Linked DNA regions of Tamandua tetradactyla. The protein of the gene in region 2 purifies or fractionates together with the protein of the main gene of each other region. This does not show direct contact. Links are inferred from orthologs where the notes say so. Each region holds a gene or a part of one and is shown on either strand. Other genes may lie near its edges.

Evidence for each region.
Region 1: the proteins of WDR5 (region 2) and HDAC2 purify together in Homo sapiens (affinity purification with mass spectrometry; 7 studies listed by BioGRID and IntAct, with this or other methods). This does not show direct contact. The link is inferred for Tamandua tetradactyla from reciprocal best matches to the Homo sapiens genes WDR5 and HDAC2.
Region 3: the proteins of WDR5 (region 2) and HDAC1 purify together in Homo sapiens (affinity purification with mass spectrometry; 8 studies listed by BioGRID and IntAct, counting the BioPlex papers as one, with this or other methods). This does not show direct contact. The link is inferred for Tamandua tetradactyla from reciprocal best matches to the Homo sapiens genes WDR5 and HDAC1.

Annotation. Positions count from the first base shown.
Region 1 is NC_135331.1:172,998,289-173,005,629, forward strand, and holds the start of HDAC2 (histone deacetylase 2), read right to left. Parts: upstream 3,148-7,341; 5' UTR 2,896-3,147; coding exon 2,844-2,895; intron 1-2,843. UniProt on the Homo sapiens protein: Histone deacetylase that catalyzes the deacetylation of lysine residues on the N-terminal part of the core histones (H2A, H2B, H3 and H4).
Region 2 is NC_135328.1:132,474,893-132,483,129, forward strand, and holds the start of WDR5 (WD repeat-containing protein 5), read right to left. Parts: upstream 3,120-8,237; 5' UTR 2,995-3,119; intron 2,437-2,994; exon of another isoform or gene 2,281-2,436; intron 1-2,280.
Region 3 is NC_135328.1:193,616,770-193,624,259, forward strand, and holds the start of HDAC1 (histone deacetylase 1), read right to left. Parts: upstream 3,148-7,490; 5' UTR 3,046-3,147; coding exon 2,997-3,045; intron 1-2,996. UniProt on the Homo sapiens protein: Histone deacetylase that catalyzes the deacetylation of lysine residues on the N-terminal part of the core histones (H2A, H2B, H3 and H4).

The sequences.
Region 1 (7,341 bases), on a different chromosome or scaffold from region 2:
TTAATCTGTAAAAATATAAAGTGTTAATCAGTTATTCACCAAAATTAAAAAATTAAGCTTTCTGATTTAGATGGTGGGGATACAGAGACTTAAAAACACATGGGGAGAGAAACAAGTCGGGTGGTAAATGTTATAGGAAGAAAAATAAAGCAGTAATGCTAATTGAGTTTTACCTAGGGTAACTGGAGAAAGCCTCTCTGATAAGGTGAAATACGAAGGAACTAAGAGCAAAGTGGTCAGTGTTTTTCTTTGGTACTGTTTTCCAAACATTTTGATTATGCACTCCTGTCAGATGGAGTAGGCTGGTGGGGGAAATCGGGCAGAGCAATGTGTAAAATTACATAAATTATGTATATATGCAACCCTATTATATATATATCATAGAAGAGACGTTAAATATGCTTGGTCTCAAGCTTAATTCAAAACCAAGTATAGTCAATATTTCTAGATGAAGTATTAAAAGTGTATTGTAATTAAAGCAAACATAGCTTGATTTGCTAACAACATTTTTAACTATAAAAACCACATAATTTTAGGGAGGAATGAGTAATTAGCTATATCATTTTAAAGATTATTGATCTTAGAGTATGTAAGAAAAATAACGAAGACTTTAGAAATAGTTTTCAGAAACTTTGAAAGTATGTGTCAATAGATACAATAAAAGAAGTAAGATCTCTTACTTTTCTTCAAATGTTTAAAGATACTTCATCAATACCTAATGATTCGCTTGGAACTGGCATTCTAGTATTCTAAAGAGCATTCTACTGAAGAGCGCAAATATAGTGAGAAATGCATATAATTTTAGAGGCATCAGTCACACTGAGATGCAAACAACTGCAAAGGTAATTTCTTTGTCACTAAGAGCTTCATCATACAGCCTGCCCCATGTCCCCAGTAAGCCTAAATGTATGGTTACAGAATTTGCTAGTTCTCTCTTTCCCACTTTATTTTTCTTCCTTCCTTCTACTTCCTTTACCAACAAATTAGAACCAGAAAATTTAGACTTGGAGATTTCTTCAGGCCCTATTAGTACTGATACTACTTGACCCCCAATCCAATACATGCTGTATACCTCCAGTCATATAATTCTTTGGTACAGAAACTTTTATTTAATCCTCTTCCTCCACATTAAAAAAAAAAAAAAAAAAAAAGAACTGCTATTTGCTACCCTTATAAGAGTTATTTTGGGGGGTAATGAAGATGTAAGTTTTTGGAATTAAGGTGCAGACCTCAGCATACTATCACATATTCACAGTTTCACAGTTACATAATGGTATTTATCCAACTTTTAAACACCTCTACAAAATATTGTATTAGGCACATACACATAAACTCTAGAGGGAGGTGACCCCTCCATGAATATTTCAAATGTAAGCAATAAATAATTCCATTCTAAAGATGAAGAGTCAACTAAGAACCACAGACAAAAGACAAGTAACCCAACAGAATTCCAAATTATATAAGTTAAATTCGTGATTGTTGGCTGTCTGGTAAAGAAGTTTGAATGGTCTACAATAAAGTATTGATTAATTCACTAAATACCACAGGACTCTCAAATAGTCTCATTTTACCTATCAAGTCTGCATTCTGCCCCTGGGACCAGTGCCTGCCCCATTTCTTCAACAAAGGTTCATCATGGATGAGCCCAGGAACAAACAGCTGTTACAGACTCCTAGTTCCTATGTTAATTTTTGCAATGCCTTCACTCAAGAGCAACCTACTAGAAACTACTCCATTTAATATAATTTAGACCAGCACAGGAAATAGGATTCAAATTTAATGTTCGAACTTCAATTTAAGAACCCCTGAAATTATCTTTTACAATTCACTGTACTGTGAGGTTGCTCGTTCACCTGATGAGGATATTTGGTACTTCCGCACTGCTCCTCAAACTTTTCCTGCACCAGGAGTCCCACCTAGGAACGGGCTTCACAAGCAAGATGCAATGCTCTCCTATACCTCCAAAGGAAGGTCTATTTCCTGACCGAACAAAGAGCAACGAAGAAGTGGGTGGTAACCACCACCTCAGAGGCAAGTCAGGACCCATCGAATCTGATGCACCATACAAGCAACAACAGCTTCACATTTCTCTACAACCTCCTCTTATTTCTCGGGAAGACTAACTGCCTCGAACTCGAAAACCTTAATGTTTATCGAGCAAGTGCAGCTCTTTCATTCGTATCCTTAGAAAGTGGCGCCCAAACAACCCGTTAACAAAGAAGAGGGAAGGAGTCCACGCCGAACAAGGGTGGGAGAGTGCCACAGGCCGGACTTGGGCCCACAACCTCAGTAACTACTCTCAAGCCCCGACCCGGGTCGACAGGTCTCGGGAGTGGCCGGAGACGGAGAAACGAGACCCTCGGGCCAGACGTCGGCAGAGACCGAGAACAAGGAGGGAAGAGACGGCGGGACTGGGGGAGGGAAGGGGGCTGGGGGTGGAGCTCCCGCGGCCGCGGGGCTTTGTGTGGAGTCAGGGCCGGGGTGAGATTCTGACCCCGGGGAAGGGGTCGGGTGCAGAGGCCAGCGCAGGGCAACCTCAAACCCCCAGTCCCACGAGGACAGCCGACCCCTCGCCACCATCGACGAGCCGGGGTAGGCCGCGCCGCCCCAGGGGTTGGCCCCTCGGGGCGGCGGGCCGCACAGCCAGAGAAAGGGGGCAAGAGGGAAGCGGGGCGTCGACCCGCTCTCGCCAACGGTGCCGGGTCCGGAAAGGGTTAAAATGCGGCCAAGCGTCGGTTCCTCCTCCTTCCCACTCCCCAACACCAGCGCCCACTCGCGACGGTGGCCACCGACCCACGACCTCATCCGTGCCCGCCTACCCTCCCGCCGGCCCGACCTCTCACCATCGTAGTAGTAGCAGACTTTCTTCTTGCCGCCTCCCTGACTGTACGCCATGGGCTCCCCGGCCACCTCCGGGCTCCGGCTCCTCCTCCGGCTGCTGCTGCTGCTGCTGCTGCCGCCGCGGGCCGGCAGGGAGAGAGAAGGGCTGGGTTGAAGGCGGGGGTGGCAGTCCGGTGGGGAAGGGCAGGCCGAAGGGAGGAAAGAGGGGATGCCGGGAGGGGTCGGTACAGCCCCGCCAAGGGGCCGAGAGCGCGGAGCGGGGGTCCGCTGCAGCACCAACTCGCGACACTGGGGAGGGGGAGGGGGCGACCAAACCACCTACGGAGGCCTTGGGGAGGTGGGACGTGCCCACGATGGCCACCGCGGGGGGGGGAAGGGGCATGCCTACAGGAAAAGGCCGCTTCAGACTTAGGATAAAACTCCTTCTGATATTGAACAGCTTGCGGAAGGCGGCTCCAAGTACAGGCTCAAAACTAGAAAAAAGAGGCAAATTTTCCCTCTGCAAATAGGTAAAGGCAGGATCCTGGTGACAATCCCCCCCTCAGATCTTTGCACAGTGGTTGTGCCTGTCCCGAGCCTGCGCAGTCGATACCTTCCCAACCGTAGTCTTGGCGGTCTAGACCCGGTCCGCGTCGTCCCGCGCCGCTCCCCTCCCCCTCAGTCGCGAAGCTCCCGCGCGATTCGACCACGTGCCGCGAGCCGGAAGGGAGCGACCACCTTCGTGAGCTTTGGCTCCCATCCCCGCCCCCCACCGCCCCAGTACCTGCTCGTCTCGGTCTTCTCATTTATCCTTCCGTTTTTTGGTGACAATTTCAATGAAGTATTGAACTGCCCAGGGGGAACTATTACAAACGTTCAGGGGAAGACTACACTGCCTGGGGTTGAATAAGCATTTATAGGAGACATTTATGAATGAGTCATGGTTCTAAGCGTTTACATTTATAATATATTTCATTTACATCTATTAATAATAGATGCCTATTATCACATTTAAGATTCCCAGCAACGCTGGAGGTAAGTCCTTCTTCTTAGATGTGAGCAGATTAAGGAACTTGGTCCTCTCAAGTCCTAACTGATCGTCTGGAGATTTGAACTCAGTCTTTCTCCAAATTCTAGATGCCCCTGCCTAATTAGATTGCTTCTGCTGCTGGCTGGTCACTGGAAGATTGGAACAGAGAGTAAAAGAAGGGACTTTCAGAACTCCAGGAAGTGATAAATACCTGTGTCCCCGTGTTCATTGAATCAACACACACTTATCCAGCACCTATTCTAAGTGAGTTGCATTACATACAAATGGGGGGGGACAGGAGGGAAGATTGACCAGTCTTTCAGTGTAACGCTTATCTTAACGATATCATTGGCAATTTCCCCCACAGCGTACAGTCCCTTCCACACCCCCATCAAAAAGGAAGCCTTAACTGAAGTGGGGACCAGTTGGAGCCACTAGGAAAAACTTGACTTTTATTTTGCTTAGACTTTAAATTCCCAAGGTGTTCATACTTAAAGCAGCAATTTTCCTGGGCCTCACCTCCCACCCCCACCCCCAAGTGATTTAAAAAAGTCACTCCCTTTCTTGTATTTTTATCAAGCACCCCAGGTAACTAATGCAATTAATACAGAAACCACAGTGTGTGTAGCATTGGTTTAGAGGTAAAGTTAATTACATGATATTGGCTTCTAGGTTTTGCTCCATCAAATCCAAAATCAACTGGTGGATTCTGAGACCGGAATAGGTTAATTTAATAGATGTTAATGTTACTCCCCAGAGCCAAGCTAGTAAGGTCTAGAAATGAGACTTTACTTTCTTCAAGACTTCCCTGAGTTCCTTCTGGTCTTTTCTCTGTGCCCTTCACATACTCCTCTTGCACCCTATAGCCCCTCCAGCTCCCTGGCAGTATCCATGTTGCCTACAACTTGTCTGAATGTCCCATTAGAATAGAGCTCTATGTAGAGGGGGACCATGTCTACCTTGTCATAATTGTACCTCTAGTGCCTGTGTGACTTTGTGACTTGAATTGCTGAATTGCTTTATCTGTAAAATGGCATAGTATTACTTGCAGAGTGATTCCTAATACGAATAAATACTGAGAGGGTCAGAAAAGAAAATTACTATGGAAACTTTTTAAACAGTGAGGAACTATGTGGATACAAGGGATTACTATGATTACTACTGTTGTTGTTATTGTTTTCATCCAAAAAGCCTAGCCTTGACATTGTGAGAAGAGTCTGAACATGTGTTTTGATTGCTTGAGGAACTTGCTTTGTTATTTATTATATAATAGTTTTAGAACAGTAGAAGTAAATGATTTTGCCCTAAGATAGCAGCATTAGAAGAGTTGGATCTAGTGTTAAGAGCTGGCCATGAAAATTATGTCCCTGCACATCTAGAACAAACTTTAGGTCATTAAATCTAATCAGTTATTGAAACCCACTGATAAGCTCCAAACTTCATTCACCATATCCAAACTCATCTCTCTCAAAACCTTTTTATGAGTATTTAATTATCATCCTTATCCTTAAACTATATATATATATATATTTTAGTTCTTGCTGTAATTGAAGTTTTCAATCCTGAAGATGTTTAGTGCTTTGGAATTATTCAATAAAATGAACTGTTAAACATAAGTGGATGATTTAGAAATAGGACTGTTTGGAAATCGATTGCTTTAGCTTATGGTAAAAGTTGAACCCTACTACCAACGGCAGCAGATAGTTTAATTTTAGTTGCTATAAAATTATTCATATAAACTTGTTACTATCGTAAAGAAATGCATATTTCTTTGTGTTAAGTTCTGTGTTGCAATTTATAAAGTACTAGAAAAGGTAGAGGAGTATGGTACAGCTTCAGGCTGAATTCTGCTCTCCTTGGAAGCATAGTGCCTATTTTTATGTAGTACTGTAAGATGTAACTCATAAATCTGAAACAGCACCAAACAATGAAAACTTAAAGTGCTATGTGACCTGTTCGTTTATTTAACAACATTAAAAATGACCTATTAATAGAAAATATATTTTTGAACTACAAGTTATCTACTAAATTACTTAGGCCTATTAAATCTTTCAAATCATTCTATAGTTCATTGTTGATGAGTGGTTTGCCCATGATCTTCTAAACAGTATCCACCTATTGCACACTTTATTTAAATAAAATTCTACATGCACACTACGTTTGGTAGAATCTACTTGTTAGTGTCTCTGAATCACTCTATGTGTACATATCTTAGTTATTCCTCTTTGTTATCCCAGACTTAACGTTCTTTCGATCTGGTCCTCATTCTATTCCACCTATCACTAGAACTCTACAGATGAGTCTTTAAATGGGAAGCTTTGCTAAAGTCTGGCAAATTGGGGCTATAACCTGCTGCCCCCCATTTATTTCTCTGGCATCCCTTGCTGTCTCTGACTGCTCATTTTCTTTTCCTTCCTTAAATATTGCTCTCCAGAGTCCCGGACCCTCTTTTCCCACTGGAGCTTACTCTTTTGGTGCTGTCTAACCCACTCAGTGACTGTTCGCTGTTGACTGTGAGTCATAATTTCCAGCCTATACCTCTCTCTTATGCTTAGCTCACTGCATGTCTGAAGGTGGATGACTTGTGGTCATCCCAAAGTCAACGTGACCAAAACACAAAGCCATTATCTTCTGTCAGATCTCTTCTTCTTGGATTCGTTTTTCCGTTAATGGTAAAACCAAACATCCAAATGCCTGAAATACCTTCCTCATGATCTCTCATTCCCACGCTAATCCATCTAGCCCAGTCTAAATAGTTACCAAATCCTGTTCTTTCTCCTGAATCTGTCTTTGAGTTGCCTCTTCTTCATGTTTAGCAAGGTCTTTGTTCAAGCCCTCAGTATCTCCTTCTAAATAATTTCAGTAACTTTGTATTTGATCTCTGATTCATCTTTCCCACTTTCATGTAAATAACTTTCTGCGTCTAATCAATACTCCTGTATTTAAGGAAATCTTTCCAAGTGCATGTTTAACACCTGTAACCATACACTAGAAACTCCAGACACATCAACTGTGCCAGTTTGAGTCTGTTGTGTAGCCCAGAAAAGCATATCTTTTAATCCTCATTCATTATGGCTGGGTGGAGTCTTTTTGATTGTTTCCATGGAGGTATGACACATCCAATTGTGGTTGATAACTTTTGATTAGATGGTTTCCATGGATATGTGTCTCCACTGATTCAAAATGGGGTTGCTTACTGGAGCCCTTTAAGAAGGAACCATTTTGGAAAAAGCTTTAGAGATATAGAACCAACAGAGCCCACACAGCCAGAGACATTTGGAGATGAAGAAAGAAAATGCCCCCGGAAAAGCCTGGAGAGAAAACTAGCAGACATTGCCATCTGCCTTTCCAGTTGAGAGAGAAACCTCAAATATCATCAGCCTTCTTGAACCAAAGTATCTTTCCCTGGATGCCTTACTTTGAACATTCTTATAGCCTTGCCTTAATTTAGACATTTTCATGGTCTTGAAACTGTAAACTTGCAACTTGTT
Region 2 (8,237 bases):
AACCATTTGACTACCATATTGAGTCTTGTAGCAACAAAATGTTCCAACTTGGAATATATTACCCTAAGTTCATGCTCACTTTTCAGACACTATGCCAAAATATCCCTGCTCTCACACTTTCTCAAGGACCCTACACTTCAAGGGTGCTTCCTATTTTGTGTCCCATGGTCCATAGGAATATAGCACAATTCACACAAAACACAATTTTGAAAACTTCAACGAGCCCAAAGGTTTCTTGATAGAAAACTAATATGCCAAATTAGAAGAGACTAAGATTCAGGTGCAGAAGTCTGGGAGCTCATCCAAATTGTAAAATGCATCCTAAGTGATATGATACTGTTAATGACCACGTTTGAAAACAGAACACATGCCCAGGGGTTCTAGGTCTAACGGGTGGGCTTTGTTATTGCAAGGTACTAGTAGTAGATGCAACGCTGATTTCCAAAATGCTAACAACTTAAAAGGCTCTCTCTCCCTGGTGAAACAGCTACAAAACACAGCAGCAAAAAAACAAACCAGAGTCAGCTGTGTCTGCTACAGGTTCCACCTACTGCCTTCTGTAGAAAAAGTACAGCACTGATGCTCTGCAAGCAAGACTCAAACTGCAGGAAAACAGGAAAAAAGACTGCCACTCAATTAGGTTTCACTTGACAACAGGAATATCTACAACCCGTACAGTACGTGATCAGTTTCTTCTATCACTGGAATAGATTCCATTCTTTGGATACATTTCCTAAAAGCACACCAGGTGATTCTGAAATGAGGGAAAGCACTATTAAAAAGAAGAGCTGCCAAGCCATTCTGCGACCATCATTGGCCATCCAAAGTCCAGAAGGTAGCACTACACCTAACCTAATGAGTTTACACACCGTAGATTCTAGCTTAAAGCTTAAGTCCGAAGCCCTGCACAACCTCCCTGTAACACTAAGGTGAAACGGGAACTATCAGAAAAACCCATGCCTCTGTCTTCATCCAACAGAATAGAAGAAAAATCACAATGTAACAGCCACTGGGCAGAATACACATGCAGCAAAGCTCTGTTTACCTGCATTAAAGATTTCCTGTCCTAGTACAGCCCTCAAAGACTGAGTCTGAGTGGGAGAGAAGGATAGGTCTCACAAAACCCACCAAAGGCAAAGCGCTGGCACAAAATTGATGCTAAGTACATGCTAGGTACTTGATTATCCTTAGTGCAACCTGGCTGGTTGCCAGTTTACCTCAACTGCTGCCCTCTCCTCTGTGGGATGGATAAGCAGCGAAGAGTGGCACTAAGGAAACCTCCTCTTAGGAACAAAGCTGGAAAGTCTGATAAGGAAACTGAGATTACAGCAGAAAACTAAGAGAGCATGGCAGATGCCTGCCAGCCAGCCCACCCAAGCAAAACACCAGTGAGAACAGAGACTTGAGGTGAGAGGGGCGAGGGCTTGGTCTGCCCACACAGGTGAAAAGGGCAGCTGGAGTGGGGGGGAGTGGCAGAGCAGCTCCTTTTAACATAAAGCCAGCCCCACCTGGAGGTGGGACATGGCTTCTGCCAACATGAGGGGAGGAGCAAGCCCAGGGAATGAAATAGGCAGTCTTACAGCAGAAGCGTTCAGCTCTCGGGTCTCTCACACATCAATGTGCAAAAAGGTCAACTGGAAAGCTGGACTTTGAAGAACACAGATTTCTTGATCCAATACCCCAAGATTCTACTTCACAGTTAGGATCCAGGGCTCTGCACTTTCCGTGAACACTCAGGTAATCCCATGGAATACCTTTTGAAAAACAACCATTTGGGGGGGGGGGAGCTGGACAGGGACTTGGTCTTTGAAAACGAGGGGTACACACAAGGTGAGCACCATCTGAGTGAAGGGAAGGGGATCGGGACTTGGCCTCCAGAGCAGAGGCAAGCGCGCATCCAGGTGAGCCTGACCTCCTAGCGCATCCAGGTGAGCCTGACCTCCTAAGGCAGCGTGCGCACCTGGGCTGCTCGTTAAAGGCAGATTCCCAGGCTCCACCCTGGAATGAGGCCTCCGAGACGGAGAGGAGGTCGCCTGCACTTTGCAGGAGGCCTCCAGGTGACCCGCAGGTGGCCATCCAGCAGTGAGTTAGGGGACTCTGCCCCCCAGCCCTCTGGGCTCTTGAACACCCCCTTCAGTACTTGGCCCTTCCACCCGCCTTCCCAATGGGGCCGGGCTAGCCTCGGGTGCAGAGTCTGGCCCAGCGCCTGTCCGAGCCAAAGCTTCAGGAAAACGCTCGCTGCAGAGGGCCGGTAAATGGTGCCGGGTGGGCAAAACTCACACAAGAAAGCTGTTAATGCGTGTCTTTCACCCACGAAACACGGGGCCGGAGGCGCCACCGCGGGAGGGCCGGTGGTTTCTCCCCGATGGCAGAAAGCCCACCCGGTGGAGCCCGCCCCAGGACTCGCAGCCCTTACGGCCGACGGCCAGGATCAGGGACCGTGGGCAAGCCCGCAGAGCGCTCAGCCCCGTCCGGGGTCTTCCCCTGGCGCAGGACTGGAGGAAAGGGGGGCCCTGAGACGCAGTGCCCGCTGGCTGCAGGGGAAAAAGAAGCCGCGACCCTCGGGCTCCGTCTCGTCACTGGACGGCTGGGGAGGGCGGGAAGGGCCCGTGGGGCCCACGATCCGTCAGGGGTCGCCGAGGAGAGCATCCGGGAACCCAGGGGGGTCTAAGGGGTACACCGGGGAGAAGAGAGGCGAGGGGGAGGGCGCTCCACGGGCCGGGCTGCGGCGTTCGGCCCGGGGGAAGCGGGTCCTGGGACGGGAGCAGGGCGGTGAGAGGCCGGCGGCCCTCGCGAGGAGCTCTCCACAGCGAGGACGGGGCCCGCCGCGGAGGCAGTTGGGGGCCCCTCGGGCGGCGTGGGGCGCGCTGGCCCGGGGTCCCGGGAGGGCCGGGGAACACGTGCGGCGGCGGGGGACGGTTTGGAGTACACCGGCATCGCGCCCGCTTCGCCCCAGGCTTCGCGCCCACCGCGCGGAGACGGCCGCCCGCTTACCTGCCGGGCCGCGGCGGCGGCGGGGCCGGAGCGCTCGGGACGCCTCGTCGGCAGCCGCCTGGTCTGAAGCACGGGCCGAGCTCGGCTAGGCGGCAGCTCCGGCGGGCGCCAGACGCCGACGGAGGGGTGCGCCCGACAGTGCGCAGGCGCGAAGGGAGGGGGCGGGGTCCTGGGGGCGGGGTAGACCCACAAAATCAGCCTCTCGGAGGAGCGCTACGGCGAGCGGCAAGGGGCAGAATGCCTCGATCAAGCCTAACGCCTTAAAGGGATAGTGTGTGCGCAGGCTTCCCGCGGTGGACCCACGCGTTGTCGGATGTAGGCCCTTCTTTTCCTGCACTTTTTGAAAATGGAAGCACAATAAACGTACAGGAATAAGCTAGTGTGCCCTCAAACTCTCACACCCCGCAGCCGGCTCCCGTGGAGGATCCAGCCCTCCTCCCGCGGTCTGAGTTGGCGGCGTGGCCCCCACGATTCTTCTCCGAGTCGGAGCCGCCTGGAGAAGCAGCTGCCTTCTCCACGAGCGCTCCTATCGGCGGGGGCCACAGGTAACGCTTCGAGGGCAGCCCTGGGCAAAGTGCGGGAGGGCGGGCAGGTGGTCAGACCTTCCCGGCTTAAAGAGGAGAAAGAAGCCCGAGCTGCAGAAAGGTCCTGACAGCCGTCTCGGGAGAGCCCGGCCCGGGCCTGGCCCGTGAGGCCGCGAGCCCTGCCTGCCCTGCCTGCCCGGAGCCCCTGCCCAGGGCTGCGACTTGCTGGGACCGTTCCCCGGAGCCCCTGGGAGGCGAGAAGCTATGCTGAGGATTCTTGCGTGCCTGCTGCTCTGCAGGCTGCGAGGCGCTTTCCCTCCAGCAGGCATTGTCACCTCCGTGGACCACGGCAGGGTAGGGCCGGAGCTTGGTTTTGTCCCCTGCACGTTCTCGCCCAGCTGCCTGCTTCTCCCACACACGGGTCTAAGGATCTTGGAGGGGTGTGTGGCCTCCACAGCTTCGTGGGCCCAACCCGGCCTGTAGGCAGAATAATGTAGTCCCTTATTTTCCAAATCGGAAATGGACACCCAGATAGGATACGGGAACGTGTACTGGTAAAGAGACCCAGCATTGGAAGGGAAACACCCTGGGAACAGGAGGTGTGTGGTTGTCATGGATACAGAGCCAGAAGAGTGGCAGCTGATGTGAAGCCCTTCCCAGAGGGGACACAGGGTGGGCAAGGTCCCTGCCTGGCTGGCCCCAGCCTGGCTCCCCACGGAGCTCTTTGCCCAGCCAACCTCACCACCTTGGGGCCAGGTGCCCTGGAGCAAAAGGTAAACACAGCTAGCTTAGGAGTGAAGGAGGGCAGCTCTTCACAGGTTCCCCTTTACCCTCACACAGTCCTCTATCCTTTCACTTCTCTCCATCCCCACCTTGGTCACCCAGCAGTCGCTGAAGAGCAGAAAGGGGAGTTTGTCAAAATCCAATTCTGATTTGTCATTCCCTAGTTTAAGACCCAGAAATGGTTTCCCATTGCCTTCAGGTCAAAATCCAAACTCCTTTGACAAACTCGCTTGCCTCCCCCTCCAGTCCAGGACTCACCCCAAACGGCTAACTTGTGCGCCCAACTTCCACTACCAGATAAATGGGTCTTGCCTCCTTCCAGTGAAAATGAGAAAATCCGTTCATACTGTCAATTGTTTTGTAATCCGTGCCTCCAGTCATAGCTAAATTCCTGAAAGCAAATAGCACAGTGGGTAGAGCAGCTGAACAATACAACCATCTGCTTTATTATCTATGTTGTAAATCCTTTTATATCCCTTTCCAAAAGTTGTCAGGCTCAGAAAAACCACAAGTGGAAACAGAAGAGAGGAAAAGAACTAAAGCAAGAAAAAACACTTCAGCCTTTGGGGTTTATGTTTTTGTTTTGTTTTCAGAACATTAACTGCGCTTGGGCCAGTGGAGATGAATCGGTAAATGAAACTGTATCCATGAACAATTTTTATAAATATATATTCTAAAAAGTTGCTTCCCACCCCCACTCAAGGCTGTCCATCAGCACAGCAAGGCCACAAGCCTGCCTGGCACCGTCCTATCTCACATAAGTCCTTCCACCAGCCAGTGTCCACTGGTGCTTCAGGGGCTTCCTCTCATCCCCCCACCCCCACCCCACCCAGTGGTACTTCCACCGCTCCCAGATCCTCCCCAATGGAAAACAGTCCTTTTCATTGTAGTTGAAGCTCATTGTGTCCTGGCCTGGCTGAGCTGGGTGGGGACGAAGCAGGAGGAGAAAGAGGAGTGATATCTAGCATACATTTGAGAACCTGCATGCCCAATTCTACATTGTTTGTTACATATATTTTCTCTTGTGCCTTCAAAACAACCCTTGACTGTGCGTGCCTTCATTATCCTCCTTTCACATTGTGAAAACTAAGGCCCCAAGAGATTGAGAGGCTGCCCAAGACTCCCCTGTGAAGGTTCCCACAACAGCCAAAGAACTGGCTGAAGGCAGAACCTACATTCCTAACCCCCAATTGCACAGTACACACTCAGTGATGCTGATGGGAAGATGGATGGATGGATAGGCTGATGAATGAGTAGGTGAGTAGGTGGGTGGACGGTTGAGTGGATAAGTGGATGGATGGGTAGTGGATAGGTTGTTGGATAAATGGATGAGTGGGTGAATGGATGAATAGGGGAATGGAAGGGTGGGTGCATGTATGGATGGGGTAGGTGGACGGATGAGTGGGTGGGTGATGGGTGGATAGATGGATGGATAAAAAGTAGGTGTTATAGGTCTTCAAAGAAGAAAGTAACGCATGTGGACTGGAGCAGACAGGAAAGGTCCTATGGAGTCTGCTGATCTGAAAAGCAAAATGTCACATTTCTGTAGGGCCGAAGCCCTTGAAAAGCTCTATTTTGTAACTTAGCAATAAGTATTTCGTAAGGAAAAGTGGACTGCCATACTAGAGGTTGGCTTTGCTGGGAGGTGGCATTAGAACAGCTCTGCTCCTTTGCCGTGCCCTAGGAATGCTGTGAGGCTCCCTGCACACGGCTGCAGGTGGCAGGAGAGCACTGACCCTTTAATGGCCAAGCCCAGAGCCTTGGGGGGGGGGGGGGAGGCGGGGGTTAGCAAATTCCAATGACAATTGAGGGAGGGTCAAGGAAGCCGATGCACATGGGGATGCCCTGAATTCGGGGTTTCCAGGAAGCACTCACTGGATTTCACAGGCAGGGTAGCCCACACCTTTGGGCTACCATTCCAGGTTGCTGCTGATGTTATCCAGAGACCCCAGTGTTCCCCTATAGCCCAGGTCAGTGGGGTTTTGTGTAAATTCTTTTCTCCTGAAAAGCAGGCCAGGGCAGCCAGTTTGGAAGACTTATGCCACCATCTCCCCTTCCTTGGGCTCTTCTCTTTCTTCCCCAACATCTTCCCCAGTGGTCCATCAGGACACACTTTGTGTCCTGCTGTCACCTGGAAGACCCAAGGGCCTTCAGCGGACAGCTTCGTCCTGAGTCACATTGGTCTCTGAAATCGCTGGTACCCAGCCATGTCCAGTCCTACTTATGCCACCATCCTTGTTCTCCTTTGGCCTCAGTTTCCCAGTTACAGAAAAAGCCCCACACCCCATGTCATTGTGGCACCCTTCTGCTGCCTTGCCCTTCCTGGCAGCTATCGAGCACACCCCACCCACCCCCAGCCTCATCCCCTACATCGTATATCCTTCTTGGCACCCTCGTTTGCCCAGCACTGTCCTGGTTTTATCACGGAAAGTCTCCATTCCTGACAGACAACCCCTCAGCCCAGGTAAACCAGCATGGTTGAGCATCGTCCCCCACTGGATTCCTTCTCTTACTGGTCCTACTTGTGGGCTGTCCCCTCCTCAAGGACCTCCAAGCTCAGCCCTCCCTCTCTTCCCTCTGCACCTTGTTCACCAGGGCCCCCTCACCTGTCCACTTCCCCGCTACCGGAGGGCTCACGAGAGCAGAGACAGCCTGTTCACCCTGGTGCAGAGGGTGCCCAATACGTGCTTAATAAAGACCAGTCGAATGAATGAAGCATCGAATGTTTGCTTTCTCTTCCTGTTTGTTTTAAATCTATCCTCAGCTTGCTGCAAAGTCATGACAACTAAATCCATCTGCCCTCACCCTGCACCCCATCCCAGGCCCAGGCGCCTCCCTGGGATGGGCTCCCCTCTGCCTCCAGGGGGTGCTGGGAGCTCAGCCACCCACCAACGGGAACCGCCAGGCTGGCCCGGGCCCCTGGACATCCAGCGGCTGTGGAAGCCCGGCCTCAACTGGAGCCAGGCTGGGCGGGCCTCCCAGCAAGAATTCCAGGAATGCAGATTCCCCCATGGGAAGCCAGGCTGCACCTGGTGTTGTCTGCAAATCCTGTCCCTGCCCCGGGACTTGGGTGTAATCCCCCTGGAAGGAGAGAGGTCCAGACAAGTTAAGAAAGAAACAGCACCTAGGCCAGGCCAGATTGAAATCAGAGGCCTAAAAAGCCGATGGAAACTTTCAACGGCTTTACTGTGGTTTAATTTGGGGTAGCCAACAGTGGTTTACAGGGTCATTTTTTTTCAAGGAATATAAATGTGACTGCTTCCATCTTCTCCCCACAATACCACTCTATTTCCATCTATCCACGTTATTAGGAAGCACTTACTGTGTGCCCTTTGCTTGTCTCATGAAACCCCAAACATGGTTGTAAACTATTCTGATATTTACAGAAGAAGAAAATGGGCTCAGAGAGCCTCAGTGATTTGCCCAAGGTCACACAGCAAGTAAATGACAGACCAGGAGCTTAACTGATTCTTTGGGCCTCCAGCGTCCAGGCATACCCTGTGGACCACACTGTTTCTTATCCATCTGCAGATATCACTTCCACCCAATTGTGATCACAGTAGCTCTGCCTTCTGCCTTCCAAGCTCACATTTACCACCAGCATCCTCCCAGCTCACCACCCAGGGTCACTTTCCCTCCTCTCTTCGTGGCTATGTGTTACTCCTCACCTGGACATTGAAGTTGTCTCCAGGATTTCACAATAAATGGTTTCTTTAGGATAAAATCCAGGAGTGGGGAACATGCCAGCATGAACCGCCCCACCCCCCACCCCCAGGCAGTAAAGAGGAGCCCAGGAGGCCGAGGCATGAGCAGGCAACCCAGCAGACCCTGGACAAAGCTTTTCTGGGTTTCCCACAGTATCGCTGATAATTCCCTAAAGGGGAAGCAACCGGTCAAAAATAGAAAAGCTGACACAGAGGAAATGCGCAGGGGCCA
Region 3 (7,490 bases), about 61 Mb from region 2:
CACAGAGGCTCACAAAGATTCAGTGAATTGAACTAAGATTCAAAGGAAGTACGTGCCTGCCCCAAATCACATAGCTAACAAGTGATTTGGGAGTCAACTCTTTTTTTTGCATGGGTAGGTACCCGGAATCGAACCCCGGTCTCCAACATGGCAGGTGAGAACTCTGCCTGCTGAGCCACTGTCCTACACTGCCCCTAACAGCTTTTAAATAGGTTGCTGAGAGACTTTATGGAAAAGAATAGGGGAAATAATACTTTTTATTTAGATATTACTTTAAATTTTAAAGGAATGGTCCATCACTATTCTTATAACAGGAACTGCTTTTATTTCTGCATTAAAGGGGAGTGACCTGAGGCCCAGAAAGGTAAACTGACCTGCCCAATACTGCAAAGCTTCTCAGTGGCAGATCCAAATCTGATTCACAATCTAATGACCTCACTGCAAAATTCACAAGCAGTTTCTTAAGAAGTAACGAGTTTGCTTTCTTCTCCAAAGACTCAGCTCTTTCCACTTTCTCTTCTTTTAAATCAAGAGTGTGGTGATCACAAAACCATGCAAACTGAGGTAGCTATCAAGTCATAGGCTCTAGCTTCTAATGGGCCTCACCACTGCCCAACAATTCTTACAATTCCTCTACTCTCTTTCACAACAGCTACTTCAGATCTTCTCTCTCTTCAAGATTCCTACTCTATCATTTGCCCTCCCTCGCTCTCAGGAAAATAAATATTCACTTACTTCATCCAGAGAATTCCCTCAACCTTCCTTATCTTCTCCCCTTCAAACTCACCTATATTTGAACTTTTTCTTGCCACTTATCCTTCTGTCACAAAGGAAATTCCTCTTGAAGGATAGTGCCCCTCCTTGTGCTCTGGTTTCCATCTCACCTGGTCTCCTCAAGAACTTCCATCACCATTAGCCCCATTCTCTCCTGTACCCTCAACCTTTCTCTCTCTCCAGCTCTTTTCCATTAGAATTTGAACATGTGCAACTCTCAGCCACTACATGACCACTTCTATCAACATTCTTCTCTCCCTGCTCCAGACAAGCTTCCCTCAAAAAGGGTTTAATCTGATGTTTCCTCTTCACCCACTTATTCACTTCCCAGTGTACAGCACAGCAACGGTTCTTGCCAATATTTGAACACTCTCTCCCTCCTTGGGCTTTTGTAACCCAAGACTTCTGGTTTGCTAACCTGTCTGGCCACTCCCTCTGTGTCATTATTCATTTATTCAGAGTCTACTGTGAGTTAGGCACTGTTCAGGGGACTGAGGATAAAGAGGTGGATAAGGCATAGTTCCTTTCTTTAAGGAACTTACTGTCTGCAAGAAATAATAACAAGTATACCGACAATTTCAGTACACAGTGTCAAGTGCAATGTCAGGAGAATTCAGAGATGGGGGGTACTAGGTTTCTTTCCCCCAGTCCACTTTTTTTGGCTTTTGTTTTTGTGTTTTATTTTTGTTCCTCAGTCCACTTTTTAAATGTTGCTCCTTTTTAGTATTCCCTTCTGGATCCTCTTTTCTTTTCATCCTACATAACTTCTTGTGACTACATCCATTCTATGACTAAAATCACCAGGTATATGGGATGGCTGCCAAAAATCTCTACCTTCTCATCTCTGTCTTCTAAACTGTAGACCTGGACAAAGGGCTTACTGGGTGTCTCTACGTGGCTATCCACCAGACATCTCAACAGGTATTACATTAAAAAAAAAAAATGAAACAAATTTATCAACTGAGACAGCCTTCACCAAACACCCACTATCAAATTACACAAGCCAGAAACTTAGAATCCTTACCTTCTTTCTTACCCCTACACATTCATGAACTTATTTCCTGCCCCAGAGTGATATCTGTAAGGCATAAACCTGATTATGACAGTAATGTCCTTAAAACTTCAATAGCTCACCAGTGCCTTCAGAATAAAGTTCAACTTCCTTGGAAGGGCACACCTAGATTTTCATTATCTAGTCCCCATTTACTTCTCTAGCCTCATTACCTTCAATCCCTGCTTCTCACCTTCTATACTCTGCCCCCAATTCTATGCCTCAACCATACTGTACACATATTCGCTGTTTTTCAAAGGTGCTGTCCTTGTCTTGCCTCTAAACTTGTTGTTACCTTAGCTTTCCCTGTGCCTGGCTAATAAATTCTCGTTCTTCAGGTCGTAACTGAGGTGATACCTTCCTCCTTGACTCCCCAGGCTGGGTTGGGTGACTCTTCCTGTGCTCCCATAACACTCTGAGCTCTCCTTTATCCCAACACTGAACTTGGGAGTAATTCTCTGTCAATGTCTATCCCCCCTTTTACACCGCGAGCTGAAAATGGGAAGTGTGACTTAGATCATCCCAGCACCTACATGCTACCTAGTACAGAGGAAGCTGCTCGGTAGACTGTTGTTAAATGGATAAGCCTGTTTTAACAGGTTGCATCTTTCTTCCAACCTGAGGGACCCTATTTCCCAGTAGCAACCACAGGCCAGGCTCAGAGATGGGAGGGAGGGAGAATACTAGGTAACCTCTAGCCGGCGATTCCCTCCGGATTCTCACCAAAATCGGTGAGGAAGAAAAGAAACAGTCAAAGACATGTGTAGTCCCAGCAGGGAAATCTATCCTTATTACCTTCTCTATCAGATTTTGCCTCCTCCCTCAGACTCAGCCTCCCCTCCAGGAGCCCTACTCAAACTCTCCACATCGGACTTCTTCAGAAGCCTGCCCCTGAGATTATCTCAGCCTTGACCCCAGACCACCCTCTCCCGGTCTCAGCCTCGACCGCCTTTTCCTCTCAGCTTTGACCTCCTTTCTTCTCTCAGCCTCCTCCCTCAGTCTCGACCTCCCTTTCTCGGCCTCCCCTCTCAGCCTCGACTCTTTTCCTCCCTCCAACGCCTCCGCCAGCCTCAGCCTCTCTCAGCCTCTCCACTCAGATCTCGACCTCAGTCTCCCTCTCCCCGACCCGGCCCAGCCCAGGCTCCGCCCCCGCCGTGAGGACGGTGCTCACCGTCGTAGTAGTAACAGACTTTCCTCCTGGTGCCCTGAGTCTGCGCCATCTTGCTTGCCTCCTGTCCCTCCCGTCAGTCAGTCCGTCCGCCCTCTCGCCCACGGCTCTGCTCAGGGACCGTCCCAGGGGAGAGAGGGCGGGCCTCCAACCCGCTCCGCCCGTCCCCCTCACCTATAGCGGCGCAGCCCGGGCACCACTCCAGCCAATCAGCTCGCACGGGGACGGGCCCGGAACTCGGCAGGGGGTAAGGGCAGCCCGGAGTAGCAGCCGAGGGCCCCCTGGGCCTGTACCAAGGTCCTCAACAGGGGGGTGGGGAGCCTGGGGACTGTACCATTAGTCCCGGGGGAGAAAGACAGGTCGGTAACTTCACAGTGTTATTTTGTTGTTGAAAGTATGCTTGGAGATGAGAAGTCAACTTTGTAATTTACAGATAATAAACTGAGGCCTACAGAGGAAAAGTGACTTGCACAAGGTCACCCAGTTTAATGAAGGGACTGACTAGATTAGAAAATGCATTGAAGGAGGAAGAAATAGACAAGTAAGGGAAAGAAAATTAATGTTTGTGGAGGCCCCCGCTATGGGCCAAGTACTGTGCAATAGCTTTACTGACGTTGACTCAGTTACTCCCCAGAAAAACTCCGGAAGAGGGCTTTTTAATCCCCATTTTACAGTTAGGATTAATGAAAGTCAGACATTTGTGAATTGCTCAGAGTCACACAATTAGTACGTGAATTCAATTTTCAGCTGTATAGGTGTTTTGAACGCCTACTATGTGTCAAAGGCACTGTAACAAAGTGGCAGAAGCCAGTCATTGTGAGTCCAAAGCCTACTTCCCTAAATCAGCCAGGAGGACTAAGGAGTGTCTTTAGACAGGAGGAAGCTGGATTACGTTCTTACACTAGAGCAGAGTTTCTCAATCTAGGAGTTATTGACATTTTGTGCTAGATACTTCCTTGTTGTAGGGGCCAGTCCTGTGCACTCTAGAATGCTTAGCTCCATTCCTAATCTCTACCACTAAATACCAGGAGCAGCTTCCCTGCCCCCTGCCTCTAGCTGTGGCAACCAAAAATGTCTCCTGTATTGCTGAATGTCTCCTTAGGGGAAGCTGATGTTAAAAATCACCCCACTATCCTCTTGAGAACCACTGCAATAGACTAATCCATCATCAATCAGTTATTATTGCAAGCTAAGAGACTGAAAAACACTGTTCTGAGTTATTAAAATAACGACTATGAAAATATTAATATTTAGTGAGTGCTTACCATGTGCCAAGCATTATGCTAACTTACTAGTGGTCCTATAGTCATTAAGATGCATTTTTATGCCTCTTTACATTTAAAGAATGCTCGAGGACATGTGTTCCTCACTTAGGGATTGCATTTGGGCTATTAATTTGAAAGGTAACAGTGGAGATCTAAGACTGGGCCATGGTGTTATAAACATGGGAAAGGCCAAGGAACAAATCCTATTGCAAGTTCTAGGTTGCTAGTTCCTGGCTAGCCTTGAGTGGATACCTTAACCTTTCTGGGCTTCCATTTCCCTCTTCATAAAATAGGGAGGATAAGAATACAAAGTTCACTGACTATGTCCAAACACAGGAGAAGGATGGAGATCAAATGAGATCAGAAGTTGGCGGCACTTTATAAAAATACAGACACAAACTCAGATGTCTAAAGAGGTCATGCAGGTGATGTAAATGAATGGATTTTATTATTTTGACTCAGCAGCTCCTCTTTGCATATTTTGAGAATTGAACTAGTCTTCACTTTCATAAAGAAATATACCTTCCCCCATCTTTCTTCAAACACACTGCTATCTTCAGATATCTTTTCTTTTCTCACTTTTAAATGATATAGACAAAAAATTCATTTTCCTCTTTATTATAGGAACAACAGCTGCTAATACACCATTTTATTGTCTGGGAGCAATAAGGAGTGGAGGAGATTCTGGTAAAAGGGAGCTCTCACATCCTACTTTTTAAAGGGGGAGGCTACTGCTCAGCTCTATGGAGGCAGGTAGGTCCAAAGTGGGCACATCTTCCTATTTTTCAAGAGAACTCAGAAATCTGCAGGTCCACACAAAATCTCTCCAGTTTGACAAATTGGCAACTAGCTCAGTTCATTCTCAATAGAGTAGTAAAAGTCATCCTTTCAAAATGTGAGATCCCATCATGGCTCTGCAGGAAACCCTGCAAAAGCCATAAAAGCCCCAGACCTCATAGGATTATCTTCCTTCTCTGAACATCCTAGGCAAGCTCCTACTTCAGGCTATTCCCTCTGGAAGGTTCCTCTCCCATACCACGTGGCTCACTCCCTCACCTTCAAATCTTTGCTCAAATGTCACCTCCTCAAAGAGGACTTCCCTGACCACCCTCTTTAAAATTTCAAGCCTCCCAACAAACATGGTATTTCTAATCTTCCTTACCCTGCCCTAATTTTCCCCTAGCACACATCACCTTGTAGCACACTATGTAATTTACTTCTTTATGGTCTTTATTGTCTATAATCTGCCTCCCTTTACTAAAATGTAAGCCCCATAAGGGGCAGTTTTTTTGTGTGTTTGAGCTACTGTATATCCTATGAGCCTAGAACAGTGCCTGGTACACAGATGTTCAAAAACTAATTGTTAAATAGGTGAATTAACTCAATTTTTAAAAACATCCTGAAGGTTAATCAATACATATCTGAAGCAGGCATAACTCTTCTATCACTAGCTGTGAAAAATGCTATTGCCCTATCATGGAAGGAGAAGAAAATTCTGTTTTTAAAGCTAATCCATTCCTGTGTGAGGAGGCCCATTGTAAGTATGATCTTTTTGTGAGTAGGATCTTTTTTTTTTCATCACATAGTTGTGTATTCATCACCATGATCATTTTAAGAACATTTGCATCACTCCAGAAAAAAAAATAAAAGACAAAAGAAAAAAACTGTACATCCCATAGTCCTTGCTTTAGTTTGTAAACTGCTGAAATTGCAATATTCCATAACTGGAATGGCTTTATAAAGGGAATTTAATAAGTTACAAGTTTACAGTTCTAAGCCTATAAAAATCTCCAAACTAAGGCATCCAGGGAGAGATACCTTAATTCAAGGAAGGTCAATGTGTCTGGAACACCTCTGTCAGCTGAGAAGTCACATTGCTGTCATCTGCTGGTCCCTTGCTCCTGGGTTCCATTGCTTTCAGCCTCTATCCCTGTCGGAGTTCCTCACTTTGCATCCCTGGGGCAGGCTTTCATCTCTTGGCTTCCCTTGGCTCTCTCCAGGTTCTGGCTTGCTTAGCATCTCATGGCAATGCCTACTGGGTTCCAAGCACCTCCAAACATCCATGTCTCTGTTCTCCGAGTGTTGTCATCTGTGTCAGCTCTGCTCTGAAGTTACTGTTGGCTCTGAGCGCTCTCCAAAATGCTTTCTCTTTTAAAGGATTCCAGTAAACTAATCAACACCTGCCCGCAATTGGGTATGTCACATCTCCGTGGAGGTCATCTAAAAAGTTTTCAACCTACAGTATTGAATCAGTATTAAAAGAAACAGCTGCCTCCACAGGACAGAATCAGGATTAAAACATTCCTCTTCTGGGGTACATAATATTTTCAAACCAGCACAGTCCTCCCTCTCATTAACCACTAGCATTGCAATCTACCCAATTTTTTTTACCCCATGTATTAGTTAGGGTTCTCTAGAGAAACAGAATCAATAGGGAACACTCGCAAATATAAAATTTATAAAAGTGTCTCACGTGACTGCAGGAACACAGAGTCCAAAATCCACAGGGCAGGCTGTGAAGCCAACGATTCCGATGGAGGGTCTGGACGAACTCCATAGGAGAGGCTCACCAGCCGAAACAGGAAGAACCTGTCTCTTCTGAATCCTCCTTAAAAGGCTTCCAGTAATCAGATTAAGCATCACTCATTGCAGAAGACACTCCCCTTTGGCTGATTACAAATGGAATCAGCTGTGGATGTAGCTGACATGATCATGATTTAATTCTATGAAATGTCCTCATCACAACAGACAGGCCAGCACTTGCCCAACCAGACAAACAGGTACCACCACTTGGCCAAGTTGAGACATGAACCTGACCATGACACCTCGTATGACCATTATTTATTTATTTATTTGTCCTTATTTTTTCACTCATCTATCCGTACCCTGGATAAAGGGAGCATCAGCCACGAAGTTTTCACAATCACATGGTCATATTGTAAAAGCCCCGTCGTTATACAATTGTCTTCAAGAATTAAGGCTACTGGAATACAGTTCAACAGTTTCAGGTACTTCCCACTTGCCACTCCAATACACCACAAACTAAAAAGGGATATCTATATATTGCATAAGAATAACATCCAGGATAACCTCTCAACTCTGTTTGAAATCTCTCAGCCACTGAAACTTTATTTTGTCTTGTTTCTCCCTTCCTCCTTTTGGTCAAGAAGGCTTTCTCAATCCCCTGATGTCGGGTCCCGGCTCATCCCCAGGAGTCCTGTCCCATGTTGCC